4 linked regions of the Diceros bicornis minor genome follow. The protein of the gene in region 4 interacts with the protein of the main gene of each other region in a pairwise test. Links are inferred from orthologs where the notes say so. Each region holds a gene or a part of one and is shown on either strand. Other genes may lie near its edges.

What was found.
Region 1: the proteins of DMRTB1 (region 4) and PKP2 interact in a two-hybrid assay, tested with the Homo sapiens proteins (2 studies listed by BioGRID). The link is inferred for Diceros bicornis minor from reciprocal best matches to the Homo sapiens genes DMRTB1 and PKP2.
Region 2: the proteins of DMRTB1 (region 4) and VASP interact in a two-hybrid assay, tested with the Homo sapiens proteins (2 studies listed by BioGRID and IntAct). The two-hybrid records come from large-scale screens. The link is inferred for Diceros bicornis minor from reciprocal best matches to the Homo sapiens genes DMRTB1 and VASP.
Region 3: the proteins of DMRTB1 (region 4) and QKI interact in a two-hybrid assay, tested with the Homo sapiens proteins (2 studies listed by BioGRID). The link is inferred for Diceros bicornis minor from reciprocal best matches to the Homo sapiens genes DMRTB1 and QKI.

The regions. Positions count from the first base shown.
Region 1 is NC_080756.1:31,062,544-31,069,574, reverse strand, and holds the start of PKP2 (plakophilin-2), read right to left. Parts: upstream 3,006-7,031; 5' UTR 2,959-3,005; coding exon 2,736-2,958; intron 1-2,735. UniProt on the Homo sapiens protein: A component of desmosome cell-cell junctions which are required for positive regulation of cellular adhesion.
Region 2 is NC_080773.1:19,738,725-19,745,864, reverse strand, and holds the start of VASP (vasodilator-stimulated phosphoprotein), read right to left. Parts: upstream 3,022-7,140; 5' UTR 2,300-3,021; coding exon 2,295-2,299; intron 1-2,294. Other genes in the region: PPM1N (probable protein phosphatase 1N), read right to left, coding at 5,775-5,843, 6,999-7,059. UniProt on the Homo sapiens protein: Ena/VASP proteins are actin-associated proteins involved in a range of processes dependent on cytoskeleton remodeling and cell polarity such as axon guidance, lamellipodial and filopodial dynamics, platelet activation and cell migration.
Region 3 is NC_080778.1:7,347,822-7,354,914, forward strand, and holds the start of QKI (KH domain-containing RNA-binding protein QKI), read right to left. Parts: upstream 3,001-7,093; 5' UTR 2,506-3,000; coding exon 2,364-2,505; intron 1-2,363. UniProt on the Homo sapiens protein: RNA reader protein, which recognizes and binds specific RNAs, thereby regulating RNA metabolic processes, such as pre-mRNA splicing, circular RNA (circRNA) formation, mRNA export, mRNA stability and/or translation.
Region 4 is NC_080752.1:15,754,284-15,762,275, reverse strand, and holds the start of DMRTB1 (doublesex- and mab-3-related transcription factor B1), read right to left. Parts: upstream 3,005-7,992; 5' UTR 2,784-3,004; coding exon 1,967-2,783; intron 409-1,966; coding exon 203-408; intron 1-202.

The sequences.
Region 1 (7,031 bases), on a different chromosome or scaffold from region 4:
CATGTTGATGTCAAATTCCTTTGAAGTCGATTACTTTTTGGAGTTTCAAAAAGCTGAGGCTTTAAAGTAAGTAGGTGTTGTGTGCTGCCTTATCTCTCTGACTGACTTGCACTTCTGTGTAGGCTGCTGAGGTATTTCAGCTTGCTGGGAAGCTCCTGCTGTAATCAAAAATATTTCAAACGCTTTGTTCCTTAGTTGGAAGAGCCACTCAAGCAGTTGCCCTGAGCATTAGAGCAGAAGCACCAGGACAATGTCCTTTGTTCTACTGTATCAATTCTGCCGACGATGAAATATTCCTGCTGTTCCCTCCTAGCATGCTCTTCCTCCAACCATCTCCCTATGTCCAATCCTATTGAACTTTTATGGTTTAAAATCTCAGTTCCTCCAAGAAGCTTTTCAAAATTCCCTTCAGCTGGTAGTCTAACTCATACTTCTAAACTCCATAATGTGTTACCTGTTCTTTTGGGTTGGTTACCATTTTTAACTTGATATCTCATTTTTTAGGGGGAGATTTCCTTCTTCAGACTTTAAACTCCTTGTTTTAAAGCAAGCAGAGTCTATGTTTAATTCAGCACCTCCACGTGAAGAACAGACTCATTTGATAGTTCTTGAATTCACCAAGCAACATGAATTCACCACGTGATAGAAAAGAGATCATGTGTGGGTTTGGGACTAAGCATCCAATTAATGTTGAGAGACTGACACATTCTTCTTAGGTGAAATGGATCCTCCTATCTACCTTATATAATCGTTTTAAGGATATAATGAAACGCAAACATATTCTTGAACAGGGTTAGGCACATAGGAGACGCTCAGCAATACTCCCCTTCCTTCTGTTCATTCCCCCCATTTATTGAATAGTTGATGTCTCATTGCTCTTTCTGACTAGCCATTCTCATAGCATAAGAAAGAAGATCTAATATGTATCCCCCTTATGTCCTCCAAGCAGCAGAAGCTACTCTGGTTCCAGTTTAGCACTGGACCTGCGCACACTAATGGAGTGCAATGACTCTACTGGTCAAAAATTGACCTCAGTTATCCTGGAGTCTTTAGTCTGACTTCCACATGTAAATTTAGGTTCTTTTTTTCCACGTACTGTGGCAGTTCTGTGCTATTCAGACCGCCCCACTCTCTCAGGACTACCTCAATTTTATTTAGAGGAAAATGGGAGGGGTCATAGAGAGGCTTAGGGTCTAATAAAAATCCCAATTTGTATTCATAACCCGAAAGTTTAACAATATAACTGATCAGTGGTTTAAAAATTCCGGCTTAGTAGTTTAAATGCCAGTTCTGCCATTTACTATCTGTGGGAACTTGAGTGTTACTTAACCACTTAGTTTCCTCATCTGTATAATGGGGATTAAAACACCTACCTCATAAATTTTTTTTTTGAAACACAAATAATATAGTGAATGTAAACCACACAGTCCAATTCTTAGCACATAGTAGGCACTCAGTTACATTAACTATAATCATTAACATCTTCTGCCTTTCAACTATGTAAACACTGACTGCCTGATTCTTTAGGATTTTTTTTACACAAATTGAAAACAATACAGCCTCCCAGGGTCTGCTGTTTTAAATCTCTGGTCTGGTCTGCAAGCATTTTTCTTTTTCCTAGTGGGTTCTGCATTTGCCATTGCCCAAGTGACTTCCCAGAGAAACAGGTCAACATTGCGGGCAAACAAACTGATATCCCAACTGAATTAATGGTTCAATTTCTTTCCTTTTGTCTTTTCTATAATAGGCCTATAATACTTTTATAATGAAAAACATAAATTAAACAACTAATAAAAGAGTTATTGTGTGGCTCTGATCCTCTGACTATTAACAGGAGAGAAAATGATATATCATGTTCTCTAATTTTCACAGCTGGTTTGCCATCTTCTTCCACCTCCCCCGACTATCAATTACTAATATAGTGTTTTATTTTTTTTTTAACCCCTTTCAACTCCAAGTTTAATTTTTTGGAGAGACTAGGGCTGTGCCCACGAGGGTGTCGCCAGGGCGCAGGGAGGCGGACCGGGCTGCCGCTGGCGGGGACAAAGTCCTCTTCCTCCTCCTCCTCCTCCGCGCGTGGGGTGGTTGTTCCCTGGCCCAAAGCCTTCTACCCAATTTTTTCACTTCCTAGATCAAGCACTCGCTCCGCACCCTGGGTGGAGCGCCCCAAAGTACCTGGGCGAGGCACCGCAACCCCAATTTACAGGTTGTAGGAGCGCCAGAACTTTCAGGTTTTCTTTTCAAAATATTTCCGGGGGTCATAGACTCTTTAAAAAAAAATCTAATAAAAGCTAGGGGCACTTTCTCCCAGAAAAATGATCATACCAAATTTCTGCATAGAATTTCAAAGTGTTTATAGACTTCGGGAGCCTCCAGATTAAGGCCCCGGGGGGGGGCGCGCAGGGGGAGCTGGTTAAGGAAGGGGTGAAAAATCTTGGACTGAATTCTTTCACATAGACATATACGTGCATTTAATATACGTAGATACATATATGACAAAACTGAGTAAGAGATTATTTTAGAAAAGAGTGCTTTGCCCAAGTAAGCCGGTCTGAGTCTTGGGGCGCGACGGGTCATACAAAGGGACGGCGAGCAACAGGTGGGCAGAACCCCAGGTCCCGCACCCTCAGGAAGCAGCGAGTGGAAGCAACAGGGTGCTAAAGGTGTGGGAGGGATAGGGAAAGGGGTAGGGGGTAGGGTCGCGGCCGTCCAGGGGCCGGCGGGGCTCCACTCACCGTTGCCCACGAAGCCGCGGCCCTTCCGGGCCAGGGTCTGCTGCACCTGCTCCTGGATCCGCAGGCTCTTGGCCGCCTGGCCGCTGCGGCCGCTGCTCCCCGCCAGCTTCAGCTTGGCCTCGGAGGGCAGGGCCAAGCTGGAGCTGTCCAGCTGCCCCAGGATCTGCTGGCCCAGGACTGTCCGGATGTAGCCGCATTCGGTTGGGGAGCCCGGGGCTGCCATGGGGCCGGAGGAGGCGACCGAGCAGCTAGCCTGCCGCGAGACCTGCAGACGAAGCTGCAGAGGAGCAGGGGGCACTGGCGCGAGCCCCGCCCCGCCGCCCCTGCCCCGCCCCCTGCCCCGCCCCCCGCGCCGGTGGGAGGCCCGAGCCGGGGGGAGCGCGGCCTCGAGAGCCGAGCGCCCAGCCTCCCCCGGGGGAGGGGGCGCGGCTCCCTCCGGGCACGCGCACTCGGCCCGGAGCGGGGCGGGGCGGGGCGGGGCGGGGCGGGCCGCGCGCGCCGACACCTGGCTAGTTGGACCTGCCGGCTGGGAGGTGGGAGAGGGCGCGGTCTGCCCGAGGTCGCGCCACTCTCCGAGTCGCCACGGATGCCGCCTGCTAGCGCCGTGCCTGGCTCTATTTGCCTTGCTCGGCCTCCTCCCAGCCCTCGGAAAGGATGTGATTTATGCCTGATTGCGGAGGGGCCGCCTCCAGGCAGGTGCGCCCTGGAGAGTCACTTCTGTTCTTGGGCTGCTGAGGTTTGCCTCTGGGGTCCCCGAGTGAAGCTGGTTAGGCAGGCTCTGTCAGACTGTTGGAAACATTACATGGTTTTCCTAGACCTGAGGGTGAGAAAGGACTATTGGGTCAGGCGGAAAGGACGATAGGAGAGAAATGTGCCGAGATGACATGTGTGAAATAAAAGACTTTTTAATATAGTTTATTTTTTAAATTAGTACAACTTCAGGGGCCGTGTTCTTTTTGCACAGATGCAGTCCCAGAAACATATGTTCTTCCTCATCCAGAGCTTCTGTTTTCTCATGCAGATACACAAATCGTACCCAGTACACTCTTGCTCACCCACTCCTCTCTTACGAACACACCCACACAGACAAACTCCAATAAGAGGTGCTAGGGAAGAGCACACTTTTAATAGCTGATAGTTTTTATTAGCCCTGCTAACGTTAAGTCCTCTTTATGATAGGCTCTTTGTAGGGGGCCCATGGAAGGGGCCTCTGACTTTCAATTGCATCTTCCACAACTTATATTTATCGTGCTATTAATTATGTTTCACGAGTAGTTGACTACTGAGAACTTGAGAGCTAAGCTCAAGGGAAAGTGTCCTTGATCTTAAGGTTTACAACCTAAGCCACTCGTCCTGATTTTCCTCTTTGGACTTGACACGCAAAAAGAAAAACATCTACTCCTGGTATTAAGTAAGATAATCTTCCCTTTGATTGCTTGGGTTAGTATGTTCACTTTTCCTCAAATCACTCAATTGCTGCAAAACCACACTTATTCAGGTCTGGAGTGGCCGAGAAAGTTTCCCCCTTCCCCATTTTCCTATGCACACCCTTCTGTCTTTACACACACACTTAATGCACAGGTATACGACTCTCCAAGGGAGCAAAGAGAAAATCAAGGGGCCCAAAGCCTTGACAACGGAATGGTGACAGCTCTGCCACCCTTTCTCAGCCACCACATGGCTAAGGCCTTGTGGAATTTAGTGCTTAAGTGGAGTCATGGGGATGGTGGGTCTTGAAAGCAGTTCCTCCCATCCCAGCAGGACCAGTCTTGAGATAGATTATACCTTGTGAAGAGCTCAATTATGTAGCCAGATGTAAACCTCCAAACCTCATGCTGAGACTCAGTTGAAAAGAGAGGGGTGAACTGACGGGGAAGTGATGATAGCGATTTCCAACAACAAACACTATTCCTCTCCCCTTCTTCTTCCTCTCCCCCTCCTGGTGGCCTCTTTTGGCAGGCCTGAGAGTGTTGCTTTGAAAGACAATTTCAGTACCTGCCCCCACAGGGTCAGGTGGGGCATCTCCTTTTTTGTGCCTGGAGAGCTGTAACTTACAAGATCAGAACCCTCACCAGCAGAGTGGAGAGGAATTTTTCTCATTTATTTATTTGATTGAGCCAAACTTCATTCACTTTTTTCTTCTCAAATGGATTTTTTTCTAAGTGTGATGTTGTAATTGACTATCTTCTTAGGTAGGTACCAATATTGAGCATGTAGAAATTTCGTTATTGGGCAGTTGGTGAATTGACAGGAGGACGATGGTTAAAAGCACAGCTTGTGAGTGAGGCAGATCTGGGTTCAAATCGTAGCTTGCCCTTTGTACATAGTGTGGCCTTAAGCAAGTTTCTTTGCATTTTTAAGCCTCAATTCTCTTACCTGTAAAATGGAAGCATTTTACAATGATGATGAAGTGCTGCTGTGAGGATTAAATGATAAGTGGTTCATAAGAAATACTCAATAAATAATTGTTCAGTGCTCTTTAACAAGCATCCCCCTGAGATCCACTTCCAGATTTCCTCAACTCTTTCTGATCTCTGCTTATCTATCAATTTACCATTTGAATGAGATTCTTTCACACACACACACACACACACACACACACACACACACAGTCACTCACTATCTCCATTCTCTGCTTAATTTGTCTCCATAGCACTTATTTTCATTACACATGCTTTCTGTTTTACTTATTTAATTGTTGATTGTTTCCCTACTGGAACGTAAACTCCATGAAAGCAAGGATTTTTTTTGTTCACTGCTGTTCTCTGGGACCTAGAACAGTGCGCATAGTAGACAACAGGTCCATGTTGAATGAATGAATGAATCATGCATGAAAGCACTTAGTATATTACATGGTGTATAATGAGTGCTCAACAACTGTTAGTCTAATAATTCTTTAGGCTTTCGAACTCTTTTGGTAACTTGTTAGCATCTTTAAAAAGTCCCGTAGATATCACTATATATTCTAGGTATTCTACTAATTGGCTATGTAATATTCCCTGTTATAAACAACAAACTAAACTGAGATAATTTTTGAATACTTTCAGAATTCAATGATTCAGTAGAACAATCTCTTCGAAAATAAGATAAATGTATAAACTCATTAAAAGGATCCCCTTGGAGTGAGAATCCTATTTCAAAAGCAAGAGTTAATTACAGGGTAAGGAAATATGCAAACTCTGGCATTGTGCCCCCAAACGTAGTCTAGATGTGCTTCTGTTCCAACAGAGTGCGGGCTCTGTCATGTTTTTTGCGTTTCCCGGGAAGGCTGCCTAGCCGACTTCCTAAATTGTGAGCCAGACCTGAGATAACTGCTGAAGGCAGCTTCTAGCCAACAAATTGAAGCATGGAAATGAAATGCTATGACTCCTTTTGTGGTGTTTGGCTGTTCTACAATCTGTGATTTTTTAGTATTTAGGTTCAGTTTTGAAAACTCTTCCATTTCTTTTCATTTACCAACAGAATCTGATAAAAGAAAAGAAAAGCAAAAGCAGAGGAACCAAAGTTGAGGTAGAATGTAAATAACAGATAAGTGAATGATGAGGCTACAGTTCCTGCTGGTGGAAACCTACAAGAATGATTAAAAAATTCTTGAGTTTTAAACTTGCATTTTTATCTGCTTTACGCACTACAGCCTTAAAACACTGATCTTTTATTGTTTGTAAATCTACAGTTAGGGCTTCCTCAGAGTAAACTTTATTTTCTTTAACCATATATAAATTCCAATATGGGAAATTCCAGTATGCAAAGAGTCAGGAAGTTACTGTAAGACTAAATATAGTATAAATTTTAGAGCAAAAGTAATATTTTTTTCTCTTTTTTTTGCTGAGAAACATTTGCCCTGAGCTAACATCTGTGCCAGTCTTCCTTTATTTTGTATGAGAGTCGCCACCACAGCATGGCCACCAATAAGTGGTGTGGGTCTGCACCTGACAACCAAACCCCGGCCGCCACAGTGGAGCTCACCAAACTTAACCACTAGGCCATGGGGCTGGCCCTCAGAAAAAATATTTTAATAGGGAACATTAAAGAACATTAATGGCACCAAAACTCTCTGATTCATATTAAAAAATACTCTAACACATTTTCATGAGTATCTTCTCTCATGAAATATTTTCCTGTTACTATTTGTAGGCTATTAATATCTATTGCTTTTAAAAAGTATTTCCTAAATTACTGTAAGAAACCTGGCAGATAGAAAGTTTTAAATGAACCATGGGTTTTATTTCCTTTTTCAGCAAATGGATATGTTGCCAAGGCAATCAGTATCAGTTTATCGTTAACCACATATGACAA
Region 2 (7,140 bases), on a different chromosome or scaffold from region 4:
AGCAATAATAATTACTATTATTGGAAGAGGAAAGAAACGGACCCAAATTCTTCTTGAGTCCCCTCTGCCCCGGGATTCTCAGACCTCTGCCCCGCTTCCTGGCCTTCCCAGAATCCCAGCTCAGATTCCTGGACACAGCATACACTCAACAAATATTTGTCAAACTGGGAGAAAAAGAACTATATTTTGTCATTTTCCATCTTAGCATCCTCTCTTTCAACTGCCCTCAAGACCATCTCCAGTCAAACCAGCCAGAAATCAGAGCATCCTGGTCCCCTCCCCTCCCGCAACACTGCATAGGAATTTCTGAGTGATCTTGGGCCAGGCTTTTCTCTCTCTGAGCCTCAGTTTCCCCAGCTGCCCCCATACAGCGGCATGGGGCGTTCTGAATCCTAGCTGTCTCAGGAGAAGGGGCCAGCCCAGGAAGGCGGGTGTGGCCATCGGCAGGGAAGACCCCACAGGAGGTAGGAGTAACCCTCTGATGGGACAGGCATCAGCAACTTCTGCCACCCCCCAGGAGGTGGGAGGTTCCGCCCGGCCAGCAGTAGGGGGGCCCTGTGGGAGGGCCAGGGCCTCGAGGCTGGAGGGGGGTGGGAGGCCGGCCCAGACATTGCTCCTGCCCTTTTACGGTCTCCGAGTGAGGCAGCCCTCGCTCGGACATCCGCCATCCGCCTTCCACCGCGGTGCCTGGGACCGGAAACGCGGGGAGAGGGGGGCGAGGGGCAGGGCTGGGGGGCAGTGGGAGAGGAGAGTCCCCGGGGAAGAGGGTGAAGGAAGAGGCTCCTGACCACGGCCCCCTCTCCAGGGCAGACCTTGAAGGCATGTTGCTGTATGAGAAAAGGGTAGGCAGGAAGTCTTGAGGGTGTCTGTGGGTGCCCCTTGCTCCCAATTTTCCAACACTTCCTTTCACATCAGAAGGAACAAATGGGGGAAGGGGATTCTCTGACAGTCATAAAAAGGCAGGCCACCTTGATGTCAGATGGCAGGGGTAGGGGGAATGGGGAAGTGGGAGGATGTGGGCACCACGGGGTTAATCCCTATCGGTCTCCAGGGGCCTCCCCCCTCAAGCTGGGGGCTTTGGGGCAGGAAGTCCCTGAGAGAGTGGAGGAAGGGAGATAGTATTGTCAGGCTCAGGCCTCAAGGGAGAGATTATGGGGGGTCAGTGAGAGGGGAGAATGGGGGGGCCTAGTCCGGTCCCCCAGTCCGCACGGGCCCCGCCCTCAGGTGAGCCCAGGACTTTTGAGGGACCCAAGACAAAATCCTTGGGTCCCCCACCCCCAGTGTTCAATTCCTGGGAAGAGAGCTGGAACTATCTGGGAAGCCTGGGTCCCAGGGGGAGAGGGCTATGACCTTGAAGCCTTCCAGCGCCCCTCCTCCAACCCCACAGCTCCGGATGGCTAGGGTGGGGGGGCGGTGGTGAGAGAAGGGGGAGGCGCCGTGGTGGGGAGAGCAGCCGGCCCACAGCGCTCCTTGCCCGCCCCCCAAACACCAGCTGTCTCGACAGGTGAGTCAGGAAGACAAAGGCCCCCATTCCCCCAGCTGCCGCGCCCCTTCCCTCCCCAGGGCCGGGCAGGTGGGGGAGAGGGCCGCCCTGCTGGCCCGTGGCCGGGGCGCCGCCCTCCGCACGGAGCGCTCGCTCAGTCCTAGGCACAGCCCGTCTCAGCAGATCGTGGGTGGGGAGCAGTGGGGGAGGGGGGTCCCACCAGACCCTCCAGGCTGCGTCTGAGTCCCTGGATCCGTCGGCACCAACCTCTTCCAGGAGGACGAGAGCACCCCCAAATTGAGAGGGTTAAGTACCCCCGAAGTTCAGGAGCGAGGTCCCACTTGGGAAGACTTTTCCCAGCACCACGTAAAGGGGCACCCCGCAAACCAAGCTCTACGTCTCAATCTCTCTTCCAGGACCCCCAAACCGGCCCCCTACAATCCCTCCCGGAGCCCGAGTTGAGATTTGGAGGCGAGTCTGAGCCCTGCCTGAACCCTGGCCTCCCAGCGGGGAGTAGCTGCCAACTTGGAGGTCCTCTGAAAAAGTCTTGAAAAAAATCCGAGAGTCCTCGGAGCGCCCCCAAATCCGAGGGCTCCCAGGAGAAGCTCACCGGCACCACCCCGAGCCTGGGGAGTCACGGGGAAGCGGCCAGTATTTGGAGCTCGTCCCAGGGGGCTCGACCTCAGATCCGAGGCTCCCCATGCCCTGTCCCCAAATTCGAGCCCGGAGCAAGCTGGGGGGGAGGGGGACAAAGGCGGGGCGGGGAGCCCGCGCCGGGCGGGGAAGGGGCTGGGGGCAGATCCAGGCTCACCTCATGGCTGCTCGGCGGGCGGGCGGCGCGCCCACGGGCTGGCTGCTCCCGGGGCGCCCCGGGCTTGAGGTTCAGGGGTTCGGGGCTGGCTCCAGGCTCTGCTCAGTCTCCCCCAGGGTCCCGCCCCATAGAGTCCGGCTTCCTGGGGGGAACGTGGGCCGGGGCGGGTCCTCGGGCGCCTCCTCCCTCTGGGGGTGTGATGGGGGGGTCCCTGCGGCAGAAAGGGGGTGCGGCGTCCCCTCCCCGGCGCGCCTCCTCGGCCGGCGGCGGCTACAACGTTACTCTTACTACTGTACTTCTCTTCGCTACATTTCGTTCCAAAATTCCACTCCCCGCACCCACAATGCCCTGCGTCTTAAAGGGGCCGTCGACACCTCCAGGCGGCGGGGTGGGAGGCTGGAGGGCGCTTAAAAGGGCAACGCGGAACCCCAGCCTTCCGCTATTTGCCCCTGCCCCAACACTATTGCATAGGGGTGCACGCTGGGGCTCGCCCCCACATTAGAGGGGGAGCTTGGTGGAGGGGAAGGGATCCTTCCTTGATCTCTCGTTCCCTCCCACCGGGGAAATTCCTAGGAGGATCTCAATGGGGTCACAATTTGTTCTCACCCTCCCCACCTCCCTATCGACTTCTGCATTTCTTTACATTCTGCTCATTTAGCAGGGGGGCAAGGAGGACCCTCTGGTGTAGCATAGTCTCTCCAATTTTCTCCCTTAAATCCTCCCGTCGGACCCCGCCCCCCAAGGTCTCTCATCTCCGCCAATTTAGGAGGGGTTACTCAGGGGTGAGCCCCCTCCCCTGCACAGGTGGGGGATGGGCGAGGAGGGCCCCCTCCCGCTCACTGCCCCCCGCCCGGCCCGGGAAGGTGAGGAGGAAGTGGGCCGAGGGGGCGCGGCCGGCCGCTGACTCACAGCCGCAGGGTGGGGGCGGGAGGGGGTGGGGGCGGTGCTGGACCTGGGTGGGGGTGGGACTCCAGGTCCCCGTGTGGATAAAGCCCCTGGCCCCCTCCCCACGCACGCCCCGCCGTGACTCAGTTTCGCCCGCGGAGCATGGCGGGATCATCCAGCAATGGGAGGGCACCGAGGCGACGAGACCCTCCCTAGTGCCAGCTCCTGGGAGCCCCCTCCCCCACGCGCCGGCTACCCGCTGAGCCCTGACACCCTCCGAGGCTTCCGCAGCGGGTCCCGCAGGCCACGCCCCACGTGACGTCACGCATGTGGTCACACCCCTCCCGTAGAGCGCCACCTGGCCCGCGTAAGGTGCCCTAGCCAGGGGCAGGAGTTTAGGAAATCTTGTTAGACATTTACAAATAGGTAAACTGAGGCCAGGAGAGAGGGAATAAATATGGGCTATAGCCCCCTTGCCTGAGCCCCCAGAACCCCAGTAGCGCTTGAGTGCAAGGTGGGAGTGTAAAACCACCAATTCTCAGGGCCCAGCTACTAAGTGAGGCAATCAAGCTTCCCAGCCTTTGTCCAAGCAGGGTCCTCCGCCCGGATGCCTCTGACCTTTCCCTCATCCTTCTAGACCATGCTCTGACGTTCATTCTTCTCTGAAGAATTGAGTAATCCTGTCCCCTTCTATCCTACTGAGAGATCGTGAATCCTGATCCACCTAGGTTATAATTATTTTTCTGGGTGTCTCCTCAGGCCGTGAGAGGACAAGTCCCTTCTCCTCTCTGGGTCAAAGCTTTCCCACGGGTGAAATGGGAGGGGTGGCGCTTCTGTGTGCCACTTGCCTTGCAGTCAACCAACTTCTTCTATAAAGGTCCAGATAGTAAATATTTTAGGCATGTTATGCATAGGGTCTCTTTTGCCCTTTTTCCCCCCAACCCTTTAAAAATGTAAAAACCATTCTTATATGTACACAAGAAGCCTGATGAAGGATCTTTATGGCAGCAATGAGGTGACAACAAGAAATTGGAAATAGCCTGAATGTCCATCAAGAGGAGGATGGATAGTGAAACCATTGCACATCCCTGTGTGAGGCGCTGGGCAGCAGCTAAAAAGAATGAGGTGTGTAAATGGCAAGAAAGAGGTCTCCAATGTATTATTATTATTTTGTGTGTGTGTGAGGAAGATCAGCCCTGAGCTAACATCCGTGCTAATCCTCCTCTTTTTGCTGAGGAAGACCGGCTCTGAGCTAACATCTATTGCCAATCCTCCTCCTTTTTTTTTTTTCCCCAAAGCCCCAGTAGATAGCTGTATGTCATAGCTGCACAACCTTCTAGTTGCTGTATGTGGGACGCGGCCTCAGCGTGGCCGGAGAAGCGGTGCATCGGTGCGCGCCCGGGATCCGAACCAGGGCCGCCAGTAGCGGAGCACGAGCACTTAACCACTAAGCCACGGGGCCGGCCCTCCAATGTATTATTGAGTGAAAAAAAACAAATTGCCAAATGATACATAGGGTATGAAAAAAATGAAGGAAACACCTTAAGGTACCATATACATGTGTGTACATGCAGAGTAAAAGGTCTGGAAAATTCTACTCCAAACTCACTGCAGTGCTGACCAATAGGATAGGAAATGGAACTGTGGGGAATTCAATGGTCATAAAGATTTCAAGCCTTATCTTGAAAATGCCAAGTTTGAACCTGCTTTTGCACTAGCTGTTCTTTCTGCCTTGGAACACTCTTCCCTGGGGTTTTTGCATGGCTTGCTCCTTCTCTGTCAGGTTTCTGCTCAGTTGTCCCCTCCGCAGAGATCTTCCCTGATCCCCCGTCTAAAGCAACCATCCCCAGGTGGAAAATTGAGTGGTGGAGGGGTGGGGGATGGAGAAAGACTTCTCATTGTACACCATTTGTACCCTTTGAACTTCCAACCAAGTGAACTCATGCCCCATTCAAGAAATAAATGAATAACAATATAAAAAACCAAAGTCACTCCCCTAGTCATTTCCTTATCATGTCCCCGTTTTATTTTGCTTGAGACACTTGTCAGTGACTGAGACGATCTTATTTATCAGCTCCCCTGTTTGCTGTCTCCCCCCACTAAGAGGTGGGCCCCCCGGGGGCAGGAATCTCTGGGTCTGCCTACTTCGTGGCTGTGAGCAAGATGGCGCCCAATACATATTTGCCAAATGACTGGGTGAATAATGTTTGTGGGTTTTTTTCTCTAGGAAAAATATATTTTGAATTATGTAATTAAAAATTTAACAATTAAAACTCTTTCCTACCTCCCCCCAAAAAAACAGATGAAAAATGGAAAGAGAAGAGAAGGTTATTGAACTAGGAGATCTCTCGGAGTCCATCCAGCTCTAAATATTTCAAAAACTTTTGGCTTGGGGTTTTTCTTAAGTCTAGATGGTGAGTGGAATTTCCCCTCCAATAAGACTTTCTGTGAGAGGGAAGTAGGAGATGGGGAAATAAGCATTCTGGGGTTCCTCCATCGGCTTGTCTTCCTTCCACTGGTCCGCGTAGCTAGGGAAGGGGGATTTCTTCCTTAGTTCCATTGAGGCCCCAACTGGGCAGAGGGTCCCCAAAGTTGTCAGGCCTCCAAGTCCAGGGCAGAGCTTGAATGGACGCCGGTGGGCTTCCCAGCCCCATTCTGCCCCTTCTGTAACACAAAATGTGGGAGACGATAGATAGGAACCCCTTCTTGCCTTTCAGTATCTACTCCCCTATATTCTGGAAGTACCACTCCCATTTTCCTTTAAGGGACCACAGTTCCCCATCTCTCAGTCTATCAGGTTTGGGTGGAGTGGACCCCAACCCGAAGGGCTAGGGGTGGGCCTGTGACCCCAGCCTGGCCACTCAGAGCCACAGTGACTGGTCAGCCATGTGACCCAGCGTGGCCAATGAGAACCAGCTCTGAAACCACAGCTGCAACTACTAGGAAACTGTTGCACCCTCTCCACTGGGGATGGTAGGCTCGTGGGACCAGAGCCTGGAGCTGCAACTCTCTGCCCGCTCATGCGGAGACCCTGCCTGGGAACGAAGCCAACTCACAGAAAATAAAACTAAGAGATGGTTCTTGATGACATCATCTGACAACTGGATGAGGTCATGCCTCAAGTCCCTGACCTCTTCAATTACACGGCCCAGTAAATTCCCTGTTGCTTTCCCAGGTTGAATTGGGTTTCTGTCCCTCACATTTCAGACAGTCCTGACACATAACCTCCTTCTGCTGCTGAGAAACTATCAACAATTCCCCCTCCTCCAAGTGGTAATAAATAAACTCTCTCTGCCAGGCCAAGGCCTTCGGGTTGTGGCCCCAGCTTCCTCCCTCCCATTTCCTCCTGACCTCCACCCCCTTAGTTTATGTGGCTCCACCCACCACCTCAATGGACATCTCTAAATTATCCCAGGCTCTCTGGGCCCAATTCACAACCTCTCTTGTCCAAGACCTGGACCACCTCAGAGATGTCCTGGTGGTCCCTACAGCACTTCCAGGCCTTGGGATCGGGTCATCAACATTCCTTGAATTTTTCTGCCTTATTCCTGGATGGAAGGGGTGGTGCTGGGGATGATGGGGGTTCTACAGAGCAAAGCAGGGGGCACATTTCTTGGAGGGAAGCACAATCTCTTCTCCCCTGCTCTGCATCCCCCCCATCATGTCTAGCACAATGCTTCAGGGCCACGAGTGAGAATTTATTTATATATCAGGCAAGTCCCTTGTCCCCTCTGGCCTCAATTTCCCCATCACTAAAGGGGGGTGCGGGGCTGGTTTACATGCGGCTGAGAGAAACATTCAAGAACACAGGGTCCTCACCTCCCAGCGCTCTCCTGAGGCCTGGCAGAGCTGAGAATAGGCTTCAGCGATGACGGAGGCCCTGGAAAGCAGAGGGAGACCCTGAGGAGGGGACCCTCCTCCTCCCACCCCTCCCCCATTCCATCCCACCCTACCCCAACTC
Region 3 (7,093 bases), on a different chromosome or scaffold from region 4:
ACAGAAGCAACCTTTACCACAGGGAGTTGAAAAGGCTACAACTCAAGACAGACTAAGACAAGAGATGGAATGAAGCATATTAAAAGGAAAAAAAATATTATTTAGAATGTTTCATCCTCAACTAGTGGTCTCCAACATTTAAAACTCAAGTGGTTACTATTTCAATCAGAGAGAAATGAACAAACTTTTGTTAGAGACAATGACATAATCGGAATTCTAGATTTAGAAAATTAAAAATTTTTGAAGCCAAAGGTTAGAAACTTTTTAACAGAGAACTCCAAATTATCATTTAGAGATTTTAGATAACATAAAAGCACAACTGAGAAGCCTTTTAGAATTAATCAGAAAAACTCAAATTATTTACTTTCTTAAATAGTATGCATAAGATGAAAATATTTCCAAACTTTTTTTATTATCGCCTATGCTGTTTGATTGAACTCGACATTTTAATTCAAACTTCTTCAACTTTAACCCTAAGTATTGTCAAGGCCTATTTTCATTTTAATGTCTATAAAGAATTCCTTGTAAACAACGGTACTTAAGAAAAAAGTGCTTAGAAATTTTTACTAGTACTACTAAAATTTTAACTTCACCAAAACATGCCAAGGGAAAATAATATCATATTTTTGAAACGTGGTAAAATTGTTCCAATAACTTTAAACAAAGTATTTTCAGCGTTTGTAAATACATATATGGACACAAAATGACAGATAAAATAATATACTATCATTTAAATTTCAACTAAATTTAATGTAGGTCAGATTATTGAGTATGTTACACATCTTGCTCCAAACATTTCTCATGTTTAAAAAAAAAATAACTGGCGCCCCTTAGCGCTCACATTTGGAAACACTCAATTTAAGAGTTCCAGCAGATTTTTTTTTTGACATTCCAGAAAGTTTTCTGCCTCCACAACCTTTCAAAAGCCAACACAAATAGGAAAAGTAGAACCCCTTAAAGAGACAGCTCAACTTTTCTCTGGAGCAATTCGAAATTAACACACTTGCTGTTTCAACAGTGTTGAAAAAGCCCATTGCAATATGGATCACTGCTGTATGTGTAACACATGTATGCAAAAACGACAACGCAGTTAATACCTAACTTTTGTACTTTTAAAGTTGTTTCTATGACTTTCTTGACAACAAAAGCTCCCGGGAGTCTTCTTTAACCATCTTTTATCTCGGAGACATTTCCGGTCTTTTGTTCCTTAGTGCCATTCCAACTCTCTAAGCTTCAGATTCCTTTTCCCCAGCTCTACTGTAAAAATCGGGAAATTCTCGTGAAAAGCCTAAAATCCGTTGTTCACCTCTATAAAAATACAGTTTCCAGTTTTCTTTAAACAGTCCTCCGCTGATGCTTCTAAACCGAAAAAAGAAACTCCTTGCTTCTCGATTTGCAAAACAGATTTTTTGGTTGGTCATCTTATTCCCTAGGCGTCCACAGAAAGGCACAGCTACCAAATATTAATGCTCCAAGTCGCCGCTGCACGAACTCGCAGAAAAATTCCAGAGTTAGCCAAAATTAATCTTCTTGTCACTCTTCGCTCCCCACCGACAAAGCTTTTGGGCAAACTTCTGCTCGTTTTTCTTTTCGCCCTTTCAGACCTCTTGATTTCCTGTCCTGCAAACTCAGGCAGCGGCGTGCCGGGGAGCAGGCTCTCCGCCGGAGTTCTCTCCAACTCGGGATTACGTCTACATTCATCCTCGCGGTATTTCGCGCTCGCCCCCACCCCCACCCCAAAAGTGAAGTTCAACTCCCCAACACTTCTCGCTTCCCCAAACAAAAGGACCGAAAGTGCTTTCCGCTGTCATTTGGGGCTCCATCAGCGTTACTTTCGGGCGCCCGCGGCATTCCTTTACATTCACGAGGCCCGCGCTACTCCCCTCGAGTGTTTACACGCCACACAAACTCCAACAAACCACAGCCCCGCGGGAGCTCCGCTCGGGGACCCGCCGGCGTCCTCCGGGAGGCCCCAGGAGCGGCTCGGGCCGGTGTCCTTCAGGCGCCCGCGGGCCGGCGAGGCCGGGCTCCTCCCCGGGAGGCCCGCGGAGCTCGGGGCCGTCGGGAGCCCACTGCCGCGGCCGGGCGCCGGGGGCGCGGGACGGGGCTTGCGGCCGCCCCCACACACCCGCGGGGCGCGCGGTCCCGATCCGAGGGCCCCCCCGCGCCGCCGAGCCCGACCGGCCCGCGAGCCCGGCCTCGGCGCCGCCTCCGTGCACCCCCGCCCGGGCCTCCCGCTCGCGGGCGCACGGCCCCGCCAGCCGCGACCTCCCTGCCCTCCCCGCCGGCCGGCGGGCGTCGGGTCCCGGGGAGAGCGGCCGCCGCCAGGGCGCGGGCCGCCAGGGGCCGGCGCGGCGACTCACCTTCGTCCAGCAGCCGCTCGAGGTGGTTGAAGATCCCGCAGAAGTTGGGCAGGCTGCTCATGAGCTTCTTGTCGTTCATCAGCTGCATCAGGTAATCCGGGGTGGGCTTCGGCTTCTCCTTCGTTTCCATTTCCCCGACCATATTCCAGGCTCCGCAGCTCACTCCGCCCGCCGCCGCCGCCGCCGCCGGAGAGGAGGGAGGGAGGGGCGGGGAGCCCCGGCCGCCGGCCGCTCGGAACTCGGCGTCCCGCTCCGCTCCGCTCCCGCGCCGGGCGCCGGGGCGGCCGGACCGCGCGCTCGCCGCGCTCTCCCCGCCCCCGCAGGCACTTTCGGCCCGCGGCCCGACGCGCTCCCGGCCCGCCGCCGCCGCCGCCGCTCCTGGCCGCCGGCTCGGCGCGTCCCTCACGAGGCCGGCGGGCGGGAGGCGGGTCTCCGCGGGCCGAGTGCGGGCGCGGGCCGCTCGGCGCCGGACGAGGAGGAGCCGGGCCGCCGCCGCCGCCGCTCGCTCGGCTGGTCGCGCCCGCTCAGCCGCCGCCTCTGCCGCGGGCTCGGGGTCTCTCTGGGCTGGTCCCCGCCGCGGCCGCCTCTGCCGCTGCCGCCGCGCTCTGACTCCGCTCCTCCTCTTCCTCCTCCTCCTCGCCGCCTCCTCCTCCTCCTCACTCACTTGGCGGCGGAGTTCGCCTCAGTTCAGGCGGCGCTGCCAGCGGCGGCGGCGGCGGCGGCGCGGGGGGAGGGGCGGCGCGGGGAGGGCCGGGGGCGGGCGCCGGGCGGGGCCGCGCAGGGCGGCCGTTAGCGGGGCCCGGCCGGCGCGCTCCTCCTCCCGCCGCCGCCCCCCGCGGCCCCGGGTCCGGGCGCCGCAGCCGCCGCTGCCGCGCCGTCTCCCTCCGGCGGGGTGGGCGGCCTGAGGGGCCGGTGGCGGGCGGCGTGACGGAGGCGGCGCTCGGCGAGCCGGGCCTGGGCGCCGGGCCGGGGTCGCCGCCCCGGGCGGGCGAGAGCGGAGGGAGGGGTCGGTGCGGGGCCGCCGGCTGGGGGAGGGTCGCGGGCGGCCGTGCTTTGGACTGGGGCGGGGGCTGGGGCCGCCTCGCGTTGCTCGCCAGCAGGCGGCTCGTCTGGCGGGCGCGGTCGGGCGGCGCGTTAGGTGAGAGGGATTTCCAGCGGGACGCGCCAGGGCCGCGCTCGCCGCCCCCCGGCCCCCTCCTCGCCTCCCGTTACTATAGTTTTTGAAAACCCTCTGATCCGCCACCCCCCAAAAGAGGATTTTTTTTTAACGTCCTGTTGCTTCACGGGGGACTTTCGGGGTGGGCGTCACGTGGCCCGACACGTAGCCGTAAGGTTCGAGAGCGCGTGCGCGCGTCGAGGCCGGCATCCACGCCCCTTCCGAGGGTCGCCCCGCCCCCGCCCAGCCCTGCCAGCGAGGGGGAGGGGCGGGGTCTGCCGCGCGCCTGCGTGGGGAGGGGGCGGGGTCGGGGAGGGGGCGTGCCCAGGGGATGCGGAGGGGGAGGGGGAGGGGGTGGCTGGGCCACGGGACCCGGAGCGGCGGGTCTGGGAAGCAGCCGGGTCTTCGCTGCCTGGCTCCGGGTCCGCCTCCAGAGGACGCGTTGGCGGTGGGCTTTGACTACCGCTGCGAAGCTGATGGGAACGCACTAACACCCCGTGTTCTCGCGGTCCCCTCTGGCTTCGGGAGCCACGCGGCGGGAAGGAGCCTGAGAAGCAGCGGGCCCCGCGTAGGCGCCCCTCGTCGCCCCGACGGCGTCGCTCTGCCGGTGCAGGACCTGTGCGAGCAGCGGGCGCGCCTCTGGGGACAGGCTGTGCTTTGTCGCGGCGTTCCGTTATTCCGGGAGCCAGCGACAGCCAGGACTGAGCGTCGCGGTGTACGGAATAACGAGGGGACGCGATGCTGTTGGCGATCTTGCGCTTCGTGGTGACATGGGTGTTCAGTAATAAAATGCAGCCACAATAAACAAGTGAAATAAAGAGCATGTACTGTACCTAGTTCGGAAAACGAAAGTCAACATTCGTATTTACAAACTTGCAAAAATAATCATACAGCGGGCAAGAGATTTTCCAAGCAGCATGATGGGGGGATTTCAAATATTTAGGTTTGTTTGGGGAAGAATTTTCTGAACTGCAACAATGTAGTTCTCTGCTTTATAGAACGTTGTCAGTCACTAAATCTGTATCTGCATTTTATTGCAAGCTCTTTATGACGTGTTCAATTAACATGGACAAAATTATTCAAAATCGGCCTGACGATTGTGCGAGTTACACTGGCTGAAGTATCTGTCGTGTCTACTGTGTTTTAACTGTGAAGAACTTAACTGGGATTTTTGGTAAAATTTTGCTTCGCACCAATTCTGAGGAACACTTTTGAGTTGTATTGAAACTACGGGTTTCAAACAAATACTCTTTGAGTGGCAAGTAGCTTCTGGCCTGTTCTTTTGAAGAACGTAGAATGAGTTTGTTTTTAAAAGTAAGCTACTTTGATGGAGGAAATGGAGTTGCCTTAGGTAGACAAAGTTAAAAACATGTAACTCGCAAATATTCTAAGTTCTCCATCATCCACAGCTGTTAATAGGGCCACGGAATATTCACCTTCTTAATTATCTATTTAGAGGATGAATTTTATAAGTGCAAGGAATACTAATTTGATCAAAAAAATTGTTGTCTCTTTAAAACTAATGTAAGGTATGCTGCTTCAGTACCTAGGAAAATGATAGGTGGTTTTAAAAGGTTTTGGTACCAAGTTATTCATTTGATTTGCTAGTTGTAAAAGATTCGATCCCCTCTCTTAATCGGTTCACTTGTTCATTAAGCTCCCAGGCCTGTGCTAAATGCTTTATATTGTAATCTCATTTAATCTTCAGTTCAACCTTGTGGCTCATATTGGCCAAGGCCTTATTTTACACAAGGGGAAACCCAAGGAGAAGGAGGTTAAGTAACTTCCCAAGACTATATAGCTCATGAGTCCTGGGTCCAGGATTCAAATCCACTTTTATTTTATTCTAAAACCCGTGTTCTTTGCCCTTTTACTAATCCTATCCAATAAGTCAGGTTGAAACTTCTAACGATGTTCGACCATTTTCAACCCATAGAATCTACAATTTCATATGGCTCACTCGGTTCTTATAATCTAAATGAGCCAGATCAGAGTTAAAGAACAGTGGTAAGCAATATTCACTTCCGACCTATTAAATCCCTTATGGTTACAGCATTTGATCATAGCTGATATGTATTGCCTTTCCAAATATGCATACTACATCAGTTCTCTTATTGCAGTTCTTCAGTGGTTCCCCCACCCCCACCCCGGCCCCGCGGAATGAACCCAAAGACAGGTACCAAGGCCTCTGAGATCTCACAAGCTCTGGCCCCCTGCTGCCTCGCTGATGTTGTGTCCTCACTTCCCCTAGTGTGCTGAGCTCTACCCCCTGGAATCCCTCCTGATCCTTAAACAGGCCAAGCATGCTTTCTACTCCAGGACTTTGCCCTCGGTGTTCCCTCTCCTTGCAAGCTTTTCCCACATCTGCACGCCTGCTTGCACCCTTTCCCAGGTCTTATCAGAGAAGGCTTCCTTTACCACCTTTATAAAATATCACATGTGTGTACACACACACGCACACACACATACTCTGTTAGTCTCTCTGCTTACCACCCTTTTAATTTTTTTCATAACATTTGTTTCCCCCTGACATGTTCTATCTATGGGTAAATTTGGCTGTCACCTCCCCCTACTGTAAGCTTCATGAGAGCAAGGACTTTATTTTGTTCTATTTTGAACTCCCAACCGGTAGAACAGCACATGTGCATATAGGCACTTATTAAAAATATGTTCAGAAAAAGAAAAATATGTTCAGAAAAAGTATTAAGTACTTGTTATGCTTCAGGAATTGTGTAGAACCTTCACCTACAATATTTCTTTTAATCCACACGGCAGACATTTGAGGTAGGCATGAATAGCCAGATTTCAGAGGAGAGATGGCTGATGCTTAAGAATAGTGAGAAGCTGGTCCCACAGAGGGCAGAACTGGGTCCAACAGGGTGATACCTCTCATTGAGACAAGCGCCCTGTCTGCAGGTGTCCACGGTATCCCTCCCCTTTCTCGCTCACCCTCCTGCCTCAAGGCATTTTAGGTATATATTACACCATTAATTACCCGACATGTGACAAGTGCAATGAGGAATACAAAAATTCTTGGGATATATCACTTGCCATCAAAAAGCTTAAAACTGTAAAAATTAATGTGGAAGGACTCTTTAGTCACGTTATTACAAAAATATCATCTTAATACAAGTTACAACATACAAGAATATATGTATAGGTGAGCTTCCAGTTGAAAGTCCTTATAATAACTTTTCTTACTCTGAAAAATTATGTCATCTAATATGTTGACACTAGAAATGGTTCTACATTTAACATCAGTAATTAACCACGAGTGGAAATGTATTTTCTGTTCTCTTAAATTTGATTGGCTGTATCTGCTTATTGCTATTCTTGACATTTAAAATAGAAAATTACAGTATTCCAAACTTTTTTCATCACCATGGAGTTCTTGCAGGAATGTTTCTTAGACTTAAGAATCACTCTTAATCTTGATGGCTTTTTGTCCCATGTGTTCTTTTGAAAAATCTTAATCTTTACATTTTCCTAAACGGGAATAGGGCTTTCCCAGTATCTTTGTAAAGTGAATGTTTGTTGTCTTAAAAGACTTGAGTATCCTTTTAAATTGTGAGAT
Region 4 (7,992 bases):
CTACATGTGAATGGACTCGTGTACATGTGTGCACTCCCAGAGGCGCACACCGCACAAGGTCAATGTTGTATCCCTCCTTCCAGTGCTCAAGGCTTGGCACCGAGTGGGCACACAAGTGGCTTCCTGGGATTAAAGATCCATAAAAGCAGCAAGGGCAGTGGGATAAGGAGGAACCTGGAAAGGAGTCAGGGAAGGGACTCACCAAGCCCCCTCCATGGTAGTGGCTGCAGGACACATGCCGGAAGCCCTGCTGCAGGGGGATCCCTGGGGCTGGGGTGGCGTCCTGGAAGCCCAGTGGGAACGGGCGGTACGAGTGCACGCTGGAGCAGCTGGGGTACAGCTTGGAAGGCTCTCTCGCCAGGTACTCAGACCCCACCACACAATCCGAGTTGATGCTCAGAGAGCGCCCTGAGAAGGTAAGCAGTGAGGAAGTGTTGAGAACACAAAGAGCTAGGAAAAGGAGCATCACATCACTGTCCAAAGGTGAAAGTATAATAAACTCTCACTTCCATTTACAAAGAACTCCCACAGCCACTAGGCTTTTAACACTCCCTGTTTTTTAAACCCTTCAACCACGTCCCACTGCTCTTAGAAAAGTCCTCGGCACAGCCGTGAAGCCCCAAGTGCTGGTTCCTGCCTCCACTCCAGCCTCCTCGCTTACTGTAACCTAGTAGCTTCTTTCTCACCCACATCAAGCCCTTTGCAGATGCTGTTCCCTTGGCTTGGAAGGCTTCCTCCCCTAACCCCACTTTGCCTACTTAAGCCTTCAGGACTCAGTGCCTAGTCTTCCTTCAGACCACAGCTAAACCATCAGTTATAAGAGCTCTATCCACTGATTTGTGTGATTCTTTGATCAGTGCTGTCTCTCCCACAAGGACAAGATCCCTGAGGGCAAGGAATGTGACTTTTCCCCCTCACCTGTTCCTCACTGGCGTTTGGCACATAATTAAGTGCTCAGTCTTTGTTCGTTGAGAGATGGAACAAAGAAAGGCACTGTGTCATGGAAAGGTACCCTTCTCCTAGGATTGCTGTTTCAGGTCTGTCTTCCCCACCTAGTTCCCTGGGGGCCTAGATTTTCCTAGAATGTCCCAGAAAGCAGAAATGGCCTTCAGAGGGCATCCAGAGGGAGAGACTGACACAGAAGTAAGGTGCTTGCCTAAGGTGACAGAGTGAGCAGGCCCCAGCCTCCTGACTCAGACTTGTGCTCTTTCTACCACACTGCCATAGGGAAAACCAAGAAAACACATGTCTTATACTCAAAAAGAGCCGTTGCTTAAAACTCAAATCTACATGTGATTTGAAATTATACTTTAATAGTGAAAGCAGCAAGACATAAGGAACAACGTAATTTATGCACGTGGTGGGAGAGGACAGAAAAGAGACAACACCTCAATGGACCAACTGCTGTCCTCCAGCAGGGGGCAGAGAAGGGGCCTCATTCCCACCCATGCCGAGGGAAAAGGCGGGAAGGGATGCGCAAGCTCATTGGGCCAGGGCACGGGTGAGGGGAGGGGCCTCCAGAACGCAGACAGGGAGAGAAGGGTGCGCAGGCGCAGTCATAGTTGAAAAAGCACCACCGCAGGACCGTCCTGGGGGAGGCGCCTCCAGCTCAACAAAAAGGCGGGAAGAGGTGCACAAGCGCAGTAGGGCCAGCCTCCCCCGCGGAGGAGGAGCCACGGCTAAGCGGACTAGAGGCCATGTTTTTCTTGCAAGATGGAAAGTCAAAAACTGTAGCTAAATGTTAAAAGCCCTCTGGACCACCCACTCCTTTCTGTCGCTCTTTTTACATTTTTGCAAAAAGGCACTCAACCCAAATCCGTATTCAGAGAAAGGTTTCGGAGAGCGAGCCTAGGTCTGGGTAGCGTTTTCCCCGCCCCCACCCCCACCCCCAGGGCCCACCCTGCGGGACCGGGCGGCCTGGGACGCCAGCGTGGGGAGCAAGGCCGCGCGGGCCCGGGCATCTTACCGAAGTCGGCGAAGGGCGGGCTGGGCACGGGTCGGAGCGGCCTGCGCAGCTCCGGGCGGCCGGGGTAGCCCCTGCCTGCGGCCTCCGCCCCGAGCTGAGGCCCCCCGGGACCGGGCATGGCCGCGGCGGCGCGTTCGCTCGGCCCCACGTGGCCGCGGCCGCCCAGGACTGGCTGGAAGGCGCTCGGGCCGGGGCTCGGGCCCCGCGGGGGTCTCCCGGGGACGGAGGCGGTCGCGCGGCCCTTGGGGCCCGGCCCCGCGTCTCTTGACGCGGCGAGCAGGGGCAGCGGGCGGAGGCTTGCGCCGGGGGCGGCGGCCGCGGCCCCGGAGGCCAGCTCGGGCCTCTCCTGCTCCTCCTCGGAGGCCTGCTTCTTGAGCACCTTCTGCGCGGCCATGATCTTCTGGCGTTCGGTGATCAGGTAGCACTTCTCGCAGGTGCACTGCTTCCAGCGGCACTTGCCCGCGTGCCCCTTGACGGGCACAAGGAAGCCATGGTTCCGGCACCGCGAGCACTTGGGGGTGCGCAGCATCTTGTCGGCCAGCTTGGCAAGGTCTGCCTTCATAGTACAACCGCCACCTCTGGGAGCTGCAGAGCGAGTGGAGCGGGGATGAGCCGCGCCCCACAAGTCCCTGGTGCTGGGGACGTTGGATACACTTGTAACAAAGCGGCTCTCAGTACGTTCCAGGAACTGCAGCAAGACCTTTGCATTTTCCCACCTCTTTTGGGGTGCAAAATTTGCAGAGGTTCTGTGCCTTGGTTGGGTGCAAGGGATTGGGTTGAGTAAGTTGTTCAAGGAATGCCATTGCATGAATGTCATCTGAGTTGTCTGAAGTCTTAGGCATTTAATTTCCCAAACTTTCTATTCCCGCCACCCCGGAGACAGAAAGTATTTTGTAACTTCAAAAAAGGCGGAGTGATATTCAACGGTCTACAGATTTAAAGCTCCAGACGAACGTAGCTCTCAGTAAACCCATTCCAGTATAAAAGCATCCTAAGCGGCAAACTGCTTCTCCTTCCAAGAACTGCTGCTTCTGCTGAATTTCATTTCTCTCCCCTGCAGAGAAGCAGCCATTCGCAGTTGATGCTTCCAGAATATTCTCAGGAGCTGAGTACAGTGTGATAGTTGCTTAAGGATGTGCCCGTTTAGAAATTCCCATTGCTTAACAGTCTTGTTGGTATAGGAATGCATTTCTAGAAGATGGCCTATTGCTGTTGTTGATGCCTTCCAAAATAAAGCATACTTACAATGCTTTAATGTAAAATAAGACGTAGGATATTTTAGCATGAGCTTGAATTATTGATTAAGTTTGCAATGAATTTAGTCATCCCTGTAAAGCAACCCAAATCTTGAGACACCTGAAAAGCTGGCCAAAACTTCATAGTCTACCAAGGCCACTAAATTAACTCATTTTCTTGTTTGATAGAAATTTGTGACACCCTGAGGTCTTTTTCCTTTTTTCTTTTTTTTAGGTCCAAAAAAAAGGAAAAAATGAGCCACTCACACCTAAGTTGAAAGCTAATAATCATAGAATCGGGAGGTAGTTATGGTTACCACCTGGCTAAAACATGTGCATATTAAATGGCCCTGTCTCTGAAATTCTCTCTCTGTGATAGCAGAATGCTAGAAGTGGAGGCCTGGGGTCCTTGATTTTCCTGAGCCTCTGGTTGCAACTGAACTTTGCATTTCTCACCAGCTGCCTAAGAATAGGAAATGGTTGCCATTCTGAGGCTGATTAGATGCTGGAAAGCTGACAAGAGATTTGTAAAGCCTTTTTCTGCTTTAAAGAAATATATTCATCATCTTAATAAGAGGGCAAAAGTATATGCTTCCTGTATTATTTGGCCCTTCAGGAATTTCACTGGTAATTTTACATCCATTTAAAGAGATCTAGGATTGTCTCTGCTTTGCTCTAATGAAACCGGCAAACAGTTAGCCATTGATGATTAAGCAGCTGATAACTATGGGGGATTGGAATTGGCCACTTCAAAATATGTCTCTGCCTGAAAGACACTTTGGCCCCCACCCCCACTAACTGACCAAAGCAGTTTGGGATGGGAGGCCTGCCCCCAGAACAGGCCATTACCGTAGACATCTCCGGTTATCTGGGAGGGTCCTTGCTAAGCCCATTCTTAGTTCTAGTTACCCTTTTTAAGATACATTTACATTTGTAAAGGAAATCTCCATCTGTAAAGCTGTCTTCTTCCCTGTACCAGGAAGAAGGGGGGGATGGCCTTACCTAGAAACTTATCAGAACAGAAGGCAAGGCCAGGACTTAAATCTGCATGATAAACTTACCCATTGTTAACTGTGCTGTTTAGGCAATATGCTAACCGACTCCCACTAGGTTCCTATAGATGACATCTCCCTGGAGCCTGGGTCACCATGGTAATGGGTGTTTGAGCTATTTTTTTTTTCAGGAATTGGAACCCCTTGTCCACTTCAGGCCGGTTGAGACCACCAACCCATCAACTGGGCCCATGCAGACATGTGTCTGATAAGCGACCTTTTGACGTTGGGAGGTTAAAGCCCCACCCTCAGGGCAAGCTGACGCCACCATTCTGTGAACATGCCTCCTACGAAGAGGCATGAAGCCTGACTACGCTTGCGCAGATCATCAATTACCTCATCTCTCCTCACCTCCAATCATTTCAGACCACCTTGCCCCTACCCCATAAATAGCCCTGAGTCCCTGTTTTCAGGGAAGCAGATTTGAGATCCATTCTCCTGTTTCCTAACTTGGCAGCCTTGTTGTTATTAAACCCTCTCTCTCTCTGCAATCTCATCATCTCAGTGTTTGGCTTTCTGAGTGGCTGGCAAAAACGGACCTGGTGCAGTAACACTAACGCCCTCTATCTTAACTTTTGATTTAAAAAATATGGTCCCACAGATAAAAGGAGAGGCAAGCTCTTTTTCTGACCCCACCCAATTCAAAATGTCTAATTTTTTCACTGATCTTGTCATTTGAAAATAGTACTTATAAATCATAGTTTCAATACTACTGTCAAAAAATCTGGGGCATAAAGCTGTATTGTTTCATGATACTGCAAATTGTAAGATCGTTTCTGCATTATCATATTTAAATTTTAACATCAGATGACATGGGACGATAAGGCCTAAAAAAGAAAACTAATGTCATTTACATTTCTTGCTTGACCACTCAAGCTCTCTTCATTTTCCTATTAATTATTTAAAGAAAAATCCTATTCAGAGGCAACTATTTGAATTAACATATTTTAGCCTTGTTAACTACAAAATGCTGCCATATTTACTTCCTAGCTTTAGGGGCCAAATATACCCAAGGTGATGTGAATTTGCATAGTGCTTTGAGAACATTAATAAACAACCATGTATCTTTTTAATCAGTAGTCACATTATAAGATGCAGAAACCCCAGAGTTTATACAGTAAACAAATCTAAGAAAAAAAAAGACTAGGTAATTTCTCTCTTCCCCCCAAAGTCTCAATTTGTGTAGGTAAATTCCAACAGAGCTTTATTTATTTCACTCTTGGAAATTCAGGCAAATTGGTAGTTTTGTTTTATTTAGGTTGATGACTGATTACTTCAGGGGCTGCTGCTTTTTTTTTTGTTTTAACATACATTTCTTTAAATTGTTATTTTAGAAGATGGTAATGTCTTAGAAGTGAAAACTAGAAGTCAAAAAAAGGATGGGAGCAGGGAAGGACCCCTTCCGTCCCCACACCTAAACCTTAGGATATTTATGTTTAAGAAAGTCTGCATCATCATAAGCAATGGTTTATAAAATAACAAGTTATCGTTGCAGGAATCACCAGTTTGACTAATTAACCACAAAGGGGCTGGTTGGCGGTCATATTTGACTTCCAGCGTCAGATATGGCCCTTTTTCCCTCAGAATCCCAAGTTTCCTATCTTGAATAATGCCTCTTCCTTCAGTTAATATGATTGCTATTTGTACTGTTTAATTCATATTCATTTTAAAGAGCCTTGTATTATGCAGTGCACAGGGGTATCATTTATAATCATTAAATATTGTATCATGCATTGTACTGTTTCCTTGCTGGGAACACACAAGAGTAAGGAAGGGCTTTTTCGCCTATGGCATCTTTCCCCCAGCAGCTATAACCCAGATATCTGCTATCTTCCCCTTCTTCAATCTCTCTCTAGTGAGCAATGAAAACTTTATTGAAGATTTTGTAGGGGATGGAGGGGAGGATTTACATGACTATCCTATAGCAGATGCTTTAAAATCCTGCCTTAGCGTTTCTATTCTCTCAAGAGCTTCCTCTGCCATGCCACACCCACTGGGGAGAAATGGTTTGTTCATGCCCCCCGCAACAGTACCCGACCTTCCTAGCTTCTCTCTCCTCTCTTTATTTTTTGAGAGCTCTGTAACAGCTGTGTCTATCTTATTTTCCATTATGTCCAGAACAAAATAGACATTCAGTCACTATTTGTTGAATGTACAAATGAACCTTGCCTCCTTCTTCTGCCAGTGTCAAGGTTACCTCCTCTCTAACTGGCAAGGTAAGTCAACTTGGCTTCAGCAACTTTGCCTGAACATCAAACAAAACAGACCCCAGAGTGAACAGGACCTCTCTCTTGACAAGCAGAATTTGGGGATCAACTTTGGTTCCTTGAGCTAACCTCCCACCCCTAATAGTTTAGTAATAGTGATAATAATAGCTGGCACTTACCAAGTGTTTATATGTGCCAGTAGTTCTTAAGTCCTTTATGTGTATTAATTCATATCATCCTCACAACAACTCTCTAAGGTAGGGACTGTTATTTTCACCCCCATTTTACACAGGAGGCCTAGAGAAGGTAAGTAACTTCCCAAGGTTTTCCAGCCATTAAGTAGCAGAGCCATGATTCAAAACCAGGAACTCTAGCCTCAAAGTCCATGTTCTTAACCAAATATCTGCTAACTCGATATTTCTTCTAAACACTGTGTTCTCCCCAAGAAAACTTTGGTGATGAATAGAAATGTTTGTCTTTATTACATACCCATTACAGTTGGGGCTATAAGGGAGCAAAATTTGCCACCCCAAAGTGTGTTTCTTGGGCATGAGGATTATTTTAGGCTGATTATTTTTAAGAAACAGAAGACTCAGGAAGTTTTTCTTTTCACCTCCCCCTTAACTGCCTAAAGAATTTAGATAGGGGGCCTGTTCCAGGAAGGTGAGCTATCACCAGAGACACCTGCAAAGAATATGAGCCAAGTGTGGTAGATGGGGGGAGCTTAGCAAGGCCTGTTTGTTCACATTTCTCTCTATCCCATTGTCTCTGCATGGTATGGCAAACATTTGTTTACCAAACATTTGTTCTTCCCATCTCCCTGTGAACTGTCTTCCTCCTCTTTGAAGTCCCAGACCCCATCTCCTTCTCCTTAGCTCAAAGTAGCATATAAGCCTCAATTGCCTGACTGTTTTGGGGCCTCATATTCTTATGAAGCCCCCATACGTACTCAAATTAAATGTAATCAAATTAAATTTTCTCCTGTTAAACTGTCTCATATCAATTTAATTCTTAGACCAGCCAGAAGAACCTAGAAGGGTAAAGGAAAAATTTTTCCTCCCCGATAGGGCAAAAGGGGGTGAAGGTGGTAGCAACATGGGGAAACGTCCCAGGATACCCTGCTTAGTTGCTTTCCTCCACCCACAGCTGACATTTATTGAATGCCAACTATGTGCTAAGCATTAGGGACACAGAAGTCAATAAAAAGACAGGATCCTTACCTTTAGGCGTACATTCTAGCTGGAAAACCAGACAGTAAAAAAATAATTCCAGATGAAAGCCAGGGAGTGAGTGGGGAGACCCAGGATGCTACAGGAACCCCTCTGAAGGTCCTAATCTGGATCGACGAATCAAGGAAGACTTCCTTGAAGGGCTGATTTGTAAGCTGAGGCCTAAAGGATGAGTAGGAATTAGCCAGGTACAAGAGCCGGAGAGGTGTGTCCCAGACACAGGCCTGCAGTGTGGCTGTAGTTCAGTGAGGTCAGGAGACTGAGAGAGTGGTGGTGTAGAGATTAAGCAGTAGCCAGGCCATG